Linked DNA regions of Arabidopsis thaliana. The protein of the gene in region 2 interacts with the protein of the main gene of each other region in a pairwise test. Each region holds a gene or a part of one and is shown on either strand. Other genes may lie near its edges. The genes, in order: AT5G44260 and NAC004.

Evidence for each region.
Region 1: the proteins of NAC004 (region 2) and AT5G44260 interact in a two-hybrid assay, tested with the Arabidopsis thaliana proteins (one large-scale study listed by BioGRID).

Annotation. Positions count from the first base shown.
Region 1 is NC_003076.8:17,828,171-17,835,243, reverse strand, and holds AT5G44260 (Zinc finger C-x8-C-x5-C-x3-H type family protein), read left to right. Parts: upstream 1-3,907; 5' UTR 3,908-4,124; coding exon 4,125-5,270; 3' UTR 5,271-5,626; downstream 5,627-7,073. Other genes in the region: AT5G44270 (TPX2 (targeting protein for Xklp2) protein family), read right to left, coding at 28-134, 428-617, 747-844, 1,023-1,120, 1,427-1,608; AT5G44265 (Bifunctional inhibitor/lipid-transfer protein/seed storage 2S albumin superfamily protein), read left to right, coding at 1,928-2,301, 2,459-2,465.
Region 2 is NC_003070.9:432,426-439,620, reverse strand, and holds NAC004 (NAC domain containing protein 4), read left to right. Parts: upstream 1-2,698; 5' UTR 2,699-2,845; coding exon 2,846-2,999; intron 3,000-3,081; coding exon 3,082-3,344; intron 3,345-3,492; coding exon 3,493-3,624; intron 3,625-3,704; coding exon 3,705-3,971; intron 3,972-4,057; coding exon 4,058-4,171; intron 4,172-4,297; coding exon 4,298-4,447; 3' UTR 4,448-4,656; downstream 4,657-7,195. Other genes in the region: NAC005 (NAC domain containing protein 5), read left to right, coding at 62-215, 307-569, 698-838, 942-1,199, 1,287-1,403, 1,515-1,670.

The DNA.
Region 1 (7,073 bases), on a different chromosome or scaffold from region 2:
TCTGCTGATCGAGTTAGATAAGCTTACTTTATGGTCAAAGTCTGCCCTTTCGATAGGCCGATGGTCCACATGCAGATTAAACTCTTGAAAAATTCTGTAAGAGGCCTTTAGTTTATCCAGAACAGAAATTTGATCTCTGAGTCAGCCAGTCAGGTGAGAATTCACAGAAATTATTTGAGTCTTTGAATATGTAAAGGAAACTGTATATGTTGACGAAGAAACAGCAGATGAACAGTCACTTACTCTTTAATCACTGGCTGTGCTCTGAAGACAATAGGAAACAAACAAAAGCTCTATAGCCTGAGACATTTCCGTCGACACTACTGAAGATGTCTCTCTCCGTACGGGCTAGCGGCTAGCCCGGGCCATCGTTTCTAGATGGAACTCCTGCAACAGTAAGAATAAAGCCACGTTTAAAACGTCTCACTCAGAAAATATTTTGGATAAGAGCGTTTGAATCTCGTGGTCTGATCAGTGTGGTTGACTTGAAATTCTGGAGGATGTGGTGTACTTCTTTGTGGTGTGGGCATAGCTGGAGCTGCCAAAATCTTTGTGAAACAGAGAGGAAGCGCATGCTTAGTTTTCAGTTTTCTCATTTCTGTGCAGCTCTGTTGTTTCTGAAGTTACAGAAGAGAGAGACGTTGTGGGAAAGCCACGCAGTACCTTCTTATTCTAAGGTCGCTCTTTTAACTAAGGCATCTTTGCCAACATCTCTTCCTCAAGCTCTGAAGTGCGTTAAGTCTTACAGGACGAACTCTCTGAGATGTCACAAACTCTGAATTCTTTCGCCTTTTTAGTGTCATCGGCAGACGCAATGCACCTTTATGTTCTCTGTCCGGGTTTGCTTAGTGACTGAAGGGCAGAAGTTGAAGCTCGTGTTAACAAGTCCTTGTTTTTTCTTGTGAGGCAAAGTTGTTGGTTTTAGGTTCAGAATCTAGTGACATCAACGGTCGGATTAACACATACAGTGAGATAGTGAAACAAGTATTGCAGTTTGAGTTGACTAACTTGTCTGGATTTACCTCCCATCATCAAGCTTTTGCCTTTTGATGGCTTCACCTGTCTTGATTTAGAGTTATGCAAAACAAGCAAGATAGTACAGTCTCTAGATTTACAGTCTCTAAATAATAATGATAATAAGGTGAGCCATCAAATAGAGGTAAAATATTTTGTATTACTTTTTAATCTTTTGTTTACTCACAATTACAACAATCTAAATGAAACCAGATTCAAACTTTATTCTATATAAAACTTTATTCTATATAAAACTGACACTTAAATGACAATAAAATGTAAATTTAGTAATGGTAGGACGATTTTTGCTTCTCACAAAGATCAAATAAAAAGAAAATTCACATGTACATATTACGAGTATAAGAAAATATTAACTACCCTTTAGAAATGGTCAGCCTCGGTAGAAACGCACCGAAGTACTTTAGAGTGGACTTCTCCACGAAGGACCACCACACTGTCTGTCCCGAGTTTGGAATGCTTTCCGACTAATGCCAGAGAGTAGTCAGGCCGCATGCATTTCTGACTACCAGGTAAACTAATTGGGCCAAGGCCCAACTGACAAACTTCCCAAACAAATGTGATTTTTGTTTCCATAGAGGATCGAACTCGGGTCTGGAAGTTTTACCCTTCCCCAAATCTTCTCTTACCACTGGACCACAAATGCTTGGGCGAGTAGCTATTAATTATCCTCCTGTTAGGTTTATTCCTGAGTTTTGTTTGATAAAATAAAATAAAAACCTAGGTTCATTCGATTTGTATTATTGTTCTCATTGGTATTTACGTATACGATGACACAACCATCAACAACAACAAAAACTCATGAAATAAGCATGATCACTAATACTGAACTACTATGTACAAATTAGTCTAAGGTTGGTCTCATTGTGTATATCAATTAATTCGAAGTCTAGAAATGGATACACACACCACTAAATTAGTCGCGATTTCACTTCTACTGCTTCTCGTGATCTCCGATTACACTAGGCTAATGATTCAGGTTCACTCGTACGTACCATTTTGTGCATACACATATGATTACTTTTCTTATTGTCTAGACTTTCTCACGGGATATTACTACAAACCCGGTAAAAAATGTTGTGTCCATATCGTAAAACTTAACATAATTGCGAAACACAAAAAAGAGAACCCGAGGCTTTTGTGTAATTGTGTTGAGATGATGACGAGAGGTTATACGCCTCCAATGTTGGCTGATAAGATCCAACAGCTTCCTCTTCTTTGCAACACACATCTCAGTTTCCCTATCTCCTCTAGCATGGATTGCTCCACGTAAGTTTATAAACATTAAATTTTACTTTAAGTGGAGAAAGATTCGAGATTGGTTTGGGTTTTGATTTAAGATGATCTTTTTTATATAAACTAGTTATGTTGTTGTGTTGTATATTCAAAACTATTAATAATGTAGCATGTGTTTGGTTTTATGCAGGGTTTAAAGTCTTGAGGGGTTGTGTGGGCCAGTTTGCTTTGGGGTGTTCAAGAAATATGGTTCTATGTGTATGGGTATTCAATTTTGGTCTTGTTTATATTAGTTTGGTTCTTTTTTTTCTCCAGATTTTGACTATTTTGGTTTAGAGAATGTGGCAGCCACATTTTAAAAGTTGAATCTAGCATATATTTGTGTCATTTTCGTTAGATTTCGAATTCAGTTTTCTTACAAAAAAAGTATATCTTTATACTAGTATACTTCCAACAAATTTGAAGTATTGATTTAGATAATTTCCACTTTTAATACAATGCTGAAGGGACACTTGATGACTTGAATGAAAGATTTCTTCTCAATTTCTTTTTGTTGTCTTATCTGTTATTTAAAATTTTAAATAGACTTTTTAGCTAATGATTTATTCATAAAAAAAAATTTGGATTGGACAACTAATCAATAAATTTTAAAATAAGCAAAATGTGCAGTAACAAAAATAAAATAAATGTATAAAACATATCGATTTTAAAACAAAATATCATATATATGCGTTATTTCTTCATAACTATGCGTGTTTAAAACAATTGTCCTTAAGAAAAGAGTAACCGATTGGAAGGAAAAACCAAAGGATCTTCGTTTCCATGCGAGCCACGTAACCAATAAAGAGATCCACCCTTGTTTAACACCTCAAACCTGTTAAGACTAATCACAATGTTCGAAGATAATGCCATTTCTATATATATTTAGTATAGCATCACACATGCGTTCTGTGTTGCAAAGTTTACTCTAGAGTTATCACTGAGTCATGACTCATGATGACCATTATTATAGTATTAGTACTTTTAAGTTTTAGGTCGAGAATATGAAGCTAATACATGCATGTAATGATGTAAATATGCCTACCTTAAAAAATATCGAATTATTCAGAAACAATGACTCGATATCCGTAAGAAACCGCCAGCTCCTGCTGAATTGCATGAACCTATCTTAATATTCTTTCGCCACGAACTCTTCCCTTTTGTCTCCTTCTTATAACTCTACACATCATCATTTCTTTTCCACTAAATAACTTACAATACGTATACCTTTTTCTTTTTTGTCAATTTAAATCAACACTAAGATATACTTTAAATACGAATCATTTAAATGAATATAATGTACTAATTGTTTCAGATTTTATTTCCTGTTTAAAAATATACTCATGAACTAAAACTAATTAATAAAATGTGGATAAATTAAAGCCTTTTAACAAAAAAAAAATGTGGATAAATTAATATCAATATGTTTCCTTTTTATTTTATTTTATCTATTTCAAAAAAATAAGTTATTCAATACATATGTTGATATTTTGACTATTTTTAATCATAATTTAAATCAATTGTTGTGTTCTTAAGCAAAATATCTAAAAACGAATATAACCACGTCCACCATAGAAGCACTGCAATTTTAGCATTCTAAAACATCCTTGATATTTTTTTGTCAACGTCTTATTATCTTTTATCTCAAACCATGTATATGGATGTATCCACTAACGCATATATATAGAGACAATTAGGCATCTATCATTTTATCCCACACTTATCTCTTCCTATCTCTCTCTCATTCAAACCCAAATAGGAAACAAATACACAAAAGTATAATAAAAAGTCTTTCTCTCATCTTTCGCCACGTAGACATGGACGTCGAACATCACAAATCCGGCCACATCAGTAGACCAACGGTGGATATTCCACCGAGGAAGCTTCTTTCCTCCGCCAAGTCTCCGTCGTCAGTTTCAAGTCCCCTTCGCGACTATAAAGAACAGAAAGACTATTGTTACGACTCTGACTCTGAGGATCCTTACGCTGGAGACCATTTCCGGATGTACGAATTCAAGATCCGACGGTGCACGCGTAGCCGTAGCCATGACTGGACCGACTGTCCTTTCTCTCATCCCGGTGAAAAGGCTCGTCGCCGTGACCCTCGCCGGTTTCACTACACCGGAGAAGTATGCCCTGAGTTTAGCCGTCACGGTGATTGTAGCCGTGGTGATGAATGCGGTTTCGCTCACGGGGTTTTCGAGTGTTGGCTTCATCCGAGTCGTTACCGTACGGAAGCTTGTAAAGACGGTAAGCATTGTAAGAGGAAAGTTTGTTTCTTTGCTCATTCTCCACGTCAGCTGAGAGTTCTTCCACCGTCCCCGGAGAATCATATTTCCGGTGGTTGCGGTGGATCACCGTCGTCATCCCCTGCATCGGTTTTAAGCAATAAAAATAATCGATGTTGCTTGTTTTGTTCCCATTCTCCGACGAGTACTCTCTTGAATTTATCACGATCACCTTCATCGTCTCCGCCTTTGTCTCCAGCTGATAAAGCCGATGCATTTTCACGGCTGAGCCGCCGTCGCACCGCCGTACTAAACGAACTGATTAGTTCTTTAGATTCCTTAAGTCTCACGGAAGCACTTGCAGCTTCTTCATCGTCTCCCGTTACCATGCCCATTTCCACGGCGACGATGATCGCTTCATCGAATCTAAGCAGCAACCACCACCACCACCGTCTTCCGCCGTGGCTTGATGTCGGAGACAGAGATCTCCAATTACAACAGAGTAGTCCTCTACGATTTGCTCTTTCACCTTCTTCAACTCCAAGTTACCTCCATGGCCAGCTTCAGCCACCACCGTCGAGCTTCTTTGGCGATGAATTCACACCACGTGGTGGCCGGCTAAGCGATTTCTCGGTGGCTGCAGCTGCGGCGGCCCAAGCTAGGGATAAAAATAGCTTTGAAGTCGGTTCTAGTGGCGATCTTGATCTAGGATGGGTGAACGATCTTTTGACATGAACAGTATGACATCAACTGTGAACTACTTGAGATCTTTCCCGACGGGAATAATTATACGGCGGCGCCGCGGCGGAGGTCCGTCGTGGTACATTGTTTATTAAAAAAGTATTTACGATTTTTTCCACGAGAGCTAATTAAGAGTCTGTAGTACTATGTCGTGCTTTAAAAATATATTTTTACTGTATTTTTTGTTAAATAAGAGAGTCCATAACTTCTATTGTTATATTGATCTCTTGGAACTTGTAATATCTACTACATTGTGATCGAATTCCTATGTAATGTTTACTTCAAAATATTCTGTTTAATAGAAAATGATGATGTAGTTATATGCCTACAGTACTTTTCATTAATGTCCACAATCATTACTATAAGAAAATTGATTCTTAATTAATTACATAGATTTAAATCGGTACATCAAAGAATTGTATATGCTCTATATTTGTGCTATTAAGCAAGTGAAACATTAACATTGTAATTGTAACATAACATTATGTCCCTCGAGTCGAGTATATATATAGTGGAGAATAACGTTATTGTTAGGTTTCGTTGGTTGATTGTGGAGCAAATATGCTATTCCTATCATATACTAGTTACTACAAAATCTTAAAATCTTCATTTTTATGACACTAGAACTTAAAAAGTCCGATAATAATAATATAATTTCCCCACTCCGAGAGCACTTGTTTCCTAGGAGACATACTTATCTGAACGACAGCTGTACATGCATAGAGATAGAGGTGTACATTACTCATATAGATATGGTATAATTAGGTATAATATATATACAATTATACATGTGTATATATGTACATGTGATCATGTGCATGTATATACATAAATAGATAAACATAATAGCAAATATACAAAAGCAAAGTATGTCGGGGTGTGGAGGTGTCACGTGGACCGGATGACCCACCAATACTTAGTTCCCATTCTCATCTCGATGGGTCGATGAGTCCTTTAGATGTCTCCTTGGAGACATATTTCACCATCATGCATTATATGTATTTACATATGTTTTTGGAGAAAGGACCGTGGGCCAATTACACCATAAAATGGACCCTAATAAGCTTGGATTTAAATATTATGGTACATGGAACTCTAACCATTTACTTCTTGTTGAAGAGTTTGGTGCATGCATGTACCTTTAACTTCCCATCTTTTTTCTTGATTTTTCTTTTGGAGTGTTCACTCTTTGAGATGTGAGAGTGAGGACCACGTACGTACGGTACTACGGTAGATGAATAATACAATGTGAAGAGAGTTATAAAAAAAAAAAAAAAAAAAAAAAAAAAAAAAAAAAAAAAAATTTATCTCTTATGTTCTTGAAGTGTCGAATTTTCAGGGATTTTTTCAGCTCTACAATTCCGATCCATTAGCTTCATGGTTTTTGAAACCCCATGTAATATAGAAAACTCCACAATCCAATAATTCAACACAAACAAGTAAATTAACACACGAGAAATCTGTATAATCCATTAATCAAAAGTTCAAAACAACGTTCATAAAATGCAGATTCAATCATCAAGCTAGCTCTCAAGATGAAAGAAACCCAACCAAATATCCAAGGAAGATCATTATAGCAGAGTTCACAAGTTTAGAGATGATGCGATAATGATGAAATGAGCTAAACACATGCTCTTTATATGCAGCTAATAGCTTGAATTCAAAGTAACAACACCATATTTTCCCTTTCTTGCAATGATATAGCTACCACATCGACTTTGGATTCCCCTTGTAAATACGATAGATGAACTGGTGGAGCTTTCCATAAACCGCCTCAAAAGGTGTCAAGTGAGTGGC
Region 2 (7,195 bases):
CATATTTTGATATCTTTCCCTCTCTTAGTTTTGATCTGAACCTTTTTGTAGCTGTTGAAAAATGGCGAATCCGGTGGGTTTTAGATTCCGTCCGACTGACGGGGAGATCGTCGACATTTACCTCCGACCGAAAAATCTCGAAAGTAACACGAGCCATGTCGATGAAGTCATTAGCACAGTTGATATTTGTAGCTTCGACCCTTGGGACTTACCTTGTAAGTCTTTCTAACGCGAGTGTTTGTTTTTCTTTGGTTCCCAACTGTTGTATCATCCCGGTAATTTCTGATCATGTTCTGTCTTTCCCAGCCCATTCTAGGATGAAAACAAGAGATCAGGTTTGGTATTTCTTCGGCCGTAAGGAGAACAAATATGGTAAAGGTGATCGACAGATAAGAAAAACCAAGTCTGGTTTTTGGAAGAAAACTGGCGTTACCATGGATATAATGCGCAAAACGGGAGATCGTGAGAAGATCGGTGAGAAAAGGGTTTTGGTGTTTAAGAATCACGGTGGTTCCAAGTCCGATTGGGCTATGCATGAGTATCACGCTACGTTCTCGTCTCCTAATCAGGTCATTTTTCGATTCTCTTGTTTAGGCTTCTTTAACTTGTTGTTGTTGTTTTCTTACCGTGATTTTATTTCTCGTAAACGGGAAAAATCTGAGTTTATGGTAATCATTTATGCTGAGTTGATCTGTAGATAATGACATACACACTCTGCAAAGTTAAGTTTAAGGGTGAAAGGAGAGAATTTTCAGTTGCTACTGGTAGTGGAATTAAGCATACTCACTCTTTAATCCCTCCTACCAACAATTCTGGAGTTTTGAGTGTAGAGACAGAGGTGAGTCAATCTCAAAAACTTTCCCTGTTTCTCTTTTAAATCTTCAAAATCATATCTCGTACACATAGTTTTTTCATCTGTGTTACGTTGTTCCTTTTTTCAGGGATCGTTGTTTCACAGCCAAGAATCACAGAATCCAAGTCAGTTTTCTGGCTTTCTTGATGTGGATGCACTAGATAGGGACTTCTGCAATATTTTGAGTGATGATTTCAAAGGCTTCTTTAATGATGACGATGAGCAGAGTAAGATTGTTTCTATGCAAGATGATCGCAACAACCACACACCTCAAAAGCCATTGACCGGTGTCTTCAGTGATCATAGCACCGATGGTAGTGATTCTGATCCGATTTCTGCAACAACTGTAAGCAAAATTTTCCTATTTTACCTTTACTATCTCCTCTGTTTTCAGTTTTTTCTCACAAAGCTATAGTTTTGTTTAATACGACAGATTTCCATTCAAACTTTAAGCACTTGTCCTAGTTTTGGTAGCTCAAATCCTCTATACCAAATCACTGACTTGCAGGAATCTCCTAACTCAATCAAGTTAGTGTCATTAGCTCAAGAGGTGAGCTTTATCATCTCCTTTTCTTAAAGACCAACCATTCTAAACTGCTAATTAACCAAGCTACTTTGTGCCAGTACTCACAGCATTTTGGGTTCTATGATGTGATTTAAGGTGAGCAAAACACCGGGAACCGGTATTGATAATGATGCACAAGGGACTGAGATTGGTGAGCATAAATTGGGTCAAGAGACGATCAAGAACAAAAGAGCTGGTTTCTTTCACAGGATGATACAAAAATTCGTCAAGAAAATTCACCTAAGAACATGATATCAATTTTGTACTTTCCAAAATCTGTAGTAGTATGTAATATGTGTCTATCTGGTTTTGTAACTTTTACACATTGTATGTGTGCCCTGAGATATATTAAAATATAATGGTGAATTTGTGATAAGATGTGGTTAGAGGAAAGAAAGATGTATCACTTCATTTGATTCAACTAACAAAATGGTCAAACCACATCTTTTTTTTTTTTTTGGTAGTAACGTGACATAATAACTCCCATAATTATGTATTGTTTTGTTTTATTTTAGAATCCCCGAAAAATATTCGGATTTTCCCTCCTTTTTAATGGAAGAAAACTAGAGATACAATATGGATATCAAAAGCTGTAGCAATCAACCTAACAAAATAGACAATTTTTCGTAGCAATCAACCTCTACTCATCTAGTCAGCTAGTCCTACTTAACCCCACAAAAGATTTCGTTCAACAAAATAAAATAACAGTATCATCAAATCAAAGATGCTTTAATCTTAATTCTAGCAATGTCACGAGTCTCTTTTGGACTTTTATAGATGTGTGCCACGCGAATATCTTGTCATGTTAGATGTTTAAGCCCAAAACCCGCCATTAGACTAATCATAACTTTTATTTTATTTGAACGTCTTAACGGTCGTCATCATTCAATTTGATAAATTTTATCTTTCTTTACCAGTTGTTTTATTATTTTCCACGTTACCGACTTTTAAAAAAAGTGATTTTACTATGTATTTACTATAAAACGTGTTAAAAATTATACTAAATCGGAATGTGAAAATGTCATTAATCCGGTAAAATAAAACGGAATGAAAAAGAGTATTTAGAGAATTTGTCAGAAAGTGTAAACAAATAAAACAAGTGTGTGGGGATTGGAAAAATCATGGTGGGGTCATTAGGATAAGTGCCAGCCGCCGCCATGTGAACTTGGTGTGATGTGTCCTGCTTTCATCATACATGACGTCATCCACTTAGTGGGTCCCATCATCTGGTCATAGTTGACGTCACTTACTCCCGTCACAGCCTTTTTATAAAAAATTATAAACACACACTTCGTCTTCCTCCTAAAAACAAAAAAACTCACACATAACTTGCAGAGCATCGTTAATGGCGAAACCTCTCTGCTACATATTTTGACTTTTTCTCACCAATTTTGTCTTTTATCTGAAACTTTAGTCGCTCTCGGACAATGATGAATCCGGTGGGTTTCAGATTCCGTCCAAACGACGAGGAGATCGTCGACCATTACCTCCGGCCAAAAAATCTCGATAGTGACACTAGCCATGTCGATGAAGTCATTAGCACAGTCGATATCTGTAGCTTCGAGCCTTGGGATTTACCTTGTAAGTCGAGTTATTTTTTCCCAAACTGTTGTATCGAATTCGAAATCATTTGCTCTGATTTCCTCTCCCTCTTTTTTCACAGCCAAGTCGATGATCAAATCGAGAGATGGGGTTTGGTATTTCTTTAGTGTTAAGGAGATGAAGTATAACAGAGGTGATCAACAGAGAAGAAGAACAAACTCTGGGTTTTGGAAGAAAACTGGAAAAACAATGACTGTCATGCGCAAAAGAGGAAATCGTGAGAAGATCGGTGAGAAAAGGGTTTTGGTTTTTAAGAATCGAGATGGTTCAAAGACCGACTGGGTTATGCACGAGTATCACGCTACGTCCTTGTTTCCTAATCAGGTAATTTTTCAATTCCAAACTTTTAGGGTTTTTTGTTGTTGATTGACCTAATTCCAGATTCCTAGGGTTTTTTCTATCTCTCTTGTTAATTGACCTAATTCTGGTGTTTTGTGGTGGTGATCGTGTTTTGATTTGATTATTTGTACAGATGATGACGTATACAGTCTGCAAAGTTGAGTTTAAGGGTGAAGAGACAGAGATCTCTTCTTCTTCTACTGGTAGTGAAATTGAACAGATTCACTCTTTAATCCCTCTTGTGAACAGTTCTGGAGGATCTGAGGTGGGAGAATCTCAAACTTTCTCTGTTTTGTCTTTAGAAACTTTGAAATATCTGACATTAGTGTTCCTCCCCTTTTTCAGGGTTCGTCGTTTCACAGCCAAGAATTACAGAATTCAAGTCAGTCTGGTGTCTTTGCTAATGTGCAGGGAGAATCTCAAATCGATGATGCAACTACACCGATTGAGGAGGAATGGAAAACATGGTTGAATAATGATGGTGATGAGCAGAGGAATATCATGTTTATGCAAGATCATCGCAGCGATTACACACCTCTAAAGTCGTTAACTGGTGTCTTCAGTGATGATAGCAGTGATGATAATGATTCTGATTTGATATCTCCTAAAACAGTAAGCAAAATTTTACTCTGCATCTTGATAATCCTCTGTTTTCAGATTTGACATCAGAAAGCTAAAGTTTTTGTTTCATATGACAGAATTCTATTGGAACTTCGAGCACTTGTGCTAGTTTTGCTAGCTCAAATCATCAGATAGACCAAACTCAACATTCTCCTGACTCAACAGTCCAGCTAGTGTCATTAACTCAAGAGGTGAGATTTATTATCTCATTTAACTCTAAATGCTAATCATGTTACTTTGTTAATTTCACCACTCACAACATTGAGACCAGATTAGAGAAATTATTTAAATGGTTGGTTCTTTAATATATTTTGCAGGTGAGCCAAGGTCCGGGTCAAGTGACTGTGATTCGAGAGCATAAATTGGGTGAAGAGTCTGTCAAGAAGAAAAGAGCTAGTTTCGTTTACAGGATGATACACAGATTAGTCAAGAAAATTCACCAATGTTATTCTATCTCAAGAACATGATAACAATAGATGAGACCAAGAACACCTTTTAGTACTTTTCCAAATTTGTAGAAATATAAGTTATGTCTATCTTGTTTTGTAAACTTTGATCAGATTGTGTGACTTCATGTATGTACTCTCTCTATATAAAAAGGGTGGATTTGTGATACGAAGTTGTTAGAGAAGATAAAGTTGTATGAATTCAATTAATACAACTACCAAAATGTTATGTCTATCCTTTTTTGTGTAAAATTTCCCTATTTTATGTTGGTCCAATATATAAAAACGGTAAATTTGTGATGAGAAGTCCGAGAAGAGAAAGTTGGATAATTTTCAATTCATACACGATACAACTAATAAAATGGTCACTTTCTTTGACAAAAGATGAAAATGATCACAATCAACCTTGAGGCTATAGTCCTACCTAATCCCCACAAAAGATGTCAGGTTCTCAACAAAAGGAAACAAGGATAATATCAAATCAAGATGCTTCGATTTTAATAATGTCAAGAGTTTTCTATAAGACTTTTAGTCTACATCTTACGTGCAGCATATTGTCACTTTTATCTTTGAGTCCAAACCCCATTTGACTGATGCTAACTTTTTGTTTTCTTCCTCATTTTGAGATTTTTTATTTTATTAACAAATAATGAACAAGATTCTTTGGCTAAATACAACCAATCCAAATCAAAATCATTTCAGCAAACTGTTACCAAACATTTCTCTAAAATTTAAAAAAAAAACAAAAAAAAAAACATTTTCTCTAAATCTGAAAGAATATTTTATGGCCAGAAAATATTATGGCCTTAGTTGAAAGTTGAAACTGTGCCTTGGTTGAAAAGTATGCACGGCGCGTGTAATTAAAATGCTTCCACGTGGCCCAATTAGCTCACATATTTTAGATTTGGTCGTTGTTGGTGTTTGGTAACATGTCCTGGCCCACCACTACTTCACTGTTCAATTAATTAATGAAAATCCTAAATTGCAACTTGCTAATACTTTAGCTTTACTACTCCTTGGTAACTCTTATAACGAACTAATAAGCTGTATTTAGCAAAAAAAATTACTAAGTAGGAGGAGGAGTATTTGGTTGGAGCTGTCTAGTTCTTTTATCTACGCCTCCTACGAAGTTTCCTATATACAAAATCATTATATGTGGTTTACATTTTTACATCGTTTGCTTCGACATAAATAATGAACTATCGAATTTAACAGAGCAAAAATAGAAAAAAAAATGTGGGATTAACAGCGTAACTGTCACATGATAAGTGCAATAATTATATGTCAGTCTTTTGATTAATGTATATTTTAAAAACTTGCAACTTGCAAATACTCTTTTCCCCTCTTTTTTATATTAAAACTAAAATATAAACCTTTTCTATGCCATCCTGCAAGGCAGATTTGGGCACTATCACAAATTCCTACGGCCCCAAGGATTTTTCCTTCGAATTCAATTTTTACGAATTTGGATCATTTGTTTTGGAGAATTCCTTCAGGCGTCGATTCGGCTTCTTACCCATGGATAATTTGGTATATATGGAAAGCAAGAAATGAAAAAGTTTTTGAAAATGTGGATAAAGATCCAATGGAAATATTGCTCTTATCGGTAAAAGAGGCTCAATCGTGGCAGGAAGCTCAAGTCGAGCTCCATAGTGAAAAACATGGTTCCTTGTCTATAGATAGTCGAATTCGGGTGAGGGATGTATCACAAGATACAACTTTTTCTGGCTTTCGGTGTTTTATTGATGGATCTTGGAAAGCAAGTGACCAGTTCTCAGGAACAGGATGGTTCTGTCTATCATCTCTTGGAGAGTCGCCAACCATGGGAGCCGCCAACGTTCGTAGAAGTCTATCTCCTCTACATACCGAAATGGAAGCTCTTCTTTGGGCGATGAAGTGCATGATTGGAGCAGATAATCAGAACGTAGCTTTCTTTACAGACTGTTCAGACTTGGTGAAGATGGTGTCTTCTCCAACCGAATGGCCGGCGTTTTCAGTGTATTTGGAGGAGTTGCAAAGTGATAGGGAAGAATTCACAAATTTCTCTTTATCTTTAATTTCTCGTAGTGCAAATGTAAAAGCGGATAAGTTGGCACGAAAGATTCGTACCGTACCGCATCATGTCACGTATGTAAACAATATCCCTCGGGATTGGCTCTTTTGAGGTTTAATTTATATCGGTTGACAAAAAAAAAAAAAAAAAAAAAACTAAAATATAAACCAAAGGGTAAAGATATTTTGTGGGAGAACATTTTTCTTATTCATGAACCAAAGATGACGATAAAGCAATGTATGTATGTTATATGAGTAAATATATATGATTGTGACAAATGATGATAACCAAACTTGCCGCGTGTTTACCATTCCAAAACTGACCTACGCCGTCGCATATAAGATATAACCTTTTGAATTGTCTTCACTCTTCAGCGTCACAAACTCACAATTTACAATCTTTTTTGGCTCACACAATTTACCCAACTTACACTTTCTTTTCTGTGCAACAACTTAACTTACTTTATTAAATACATTAATACACCATTAATTTTTGTGATAACTAGAAACGTTAGGTATAACCGTATAAATAACACAAATTAGTTTTCATAGCAACTAAAGACATTTCCATCCATAGTATTCACACATTTTTTTTAAAAAAAAGGTAAGTTTCTAGAATAGTAGAGTTTTTAGTACAAAAGGTTCATAATTGAGAATCTATATATGAGAACCCTATATATGTAAAACTCTCAAAACAAAAAATAAATAAATATATTA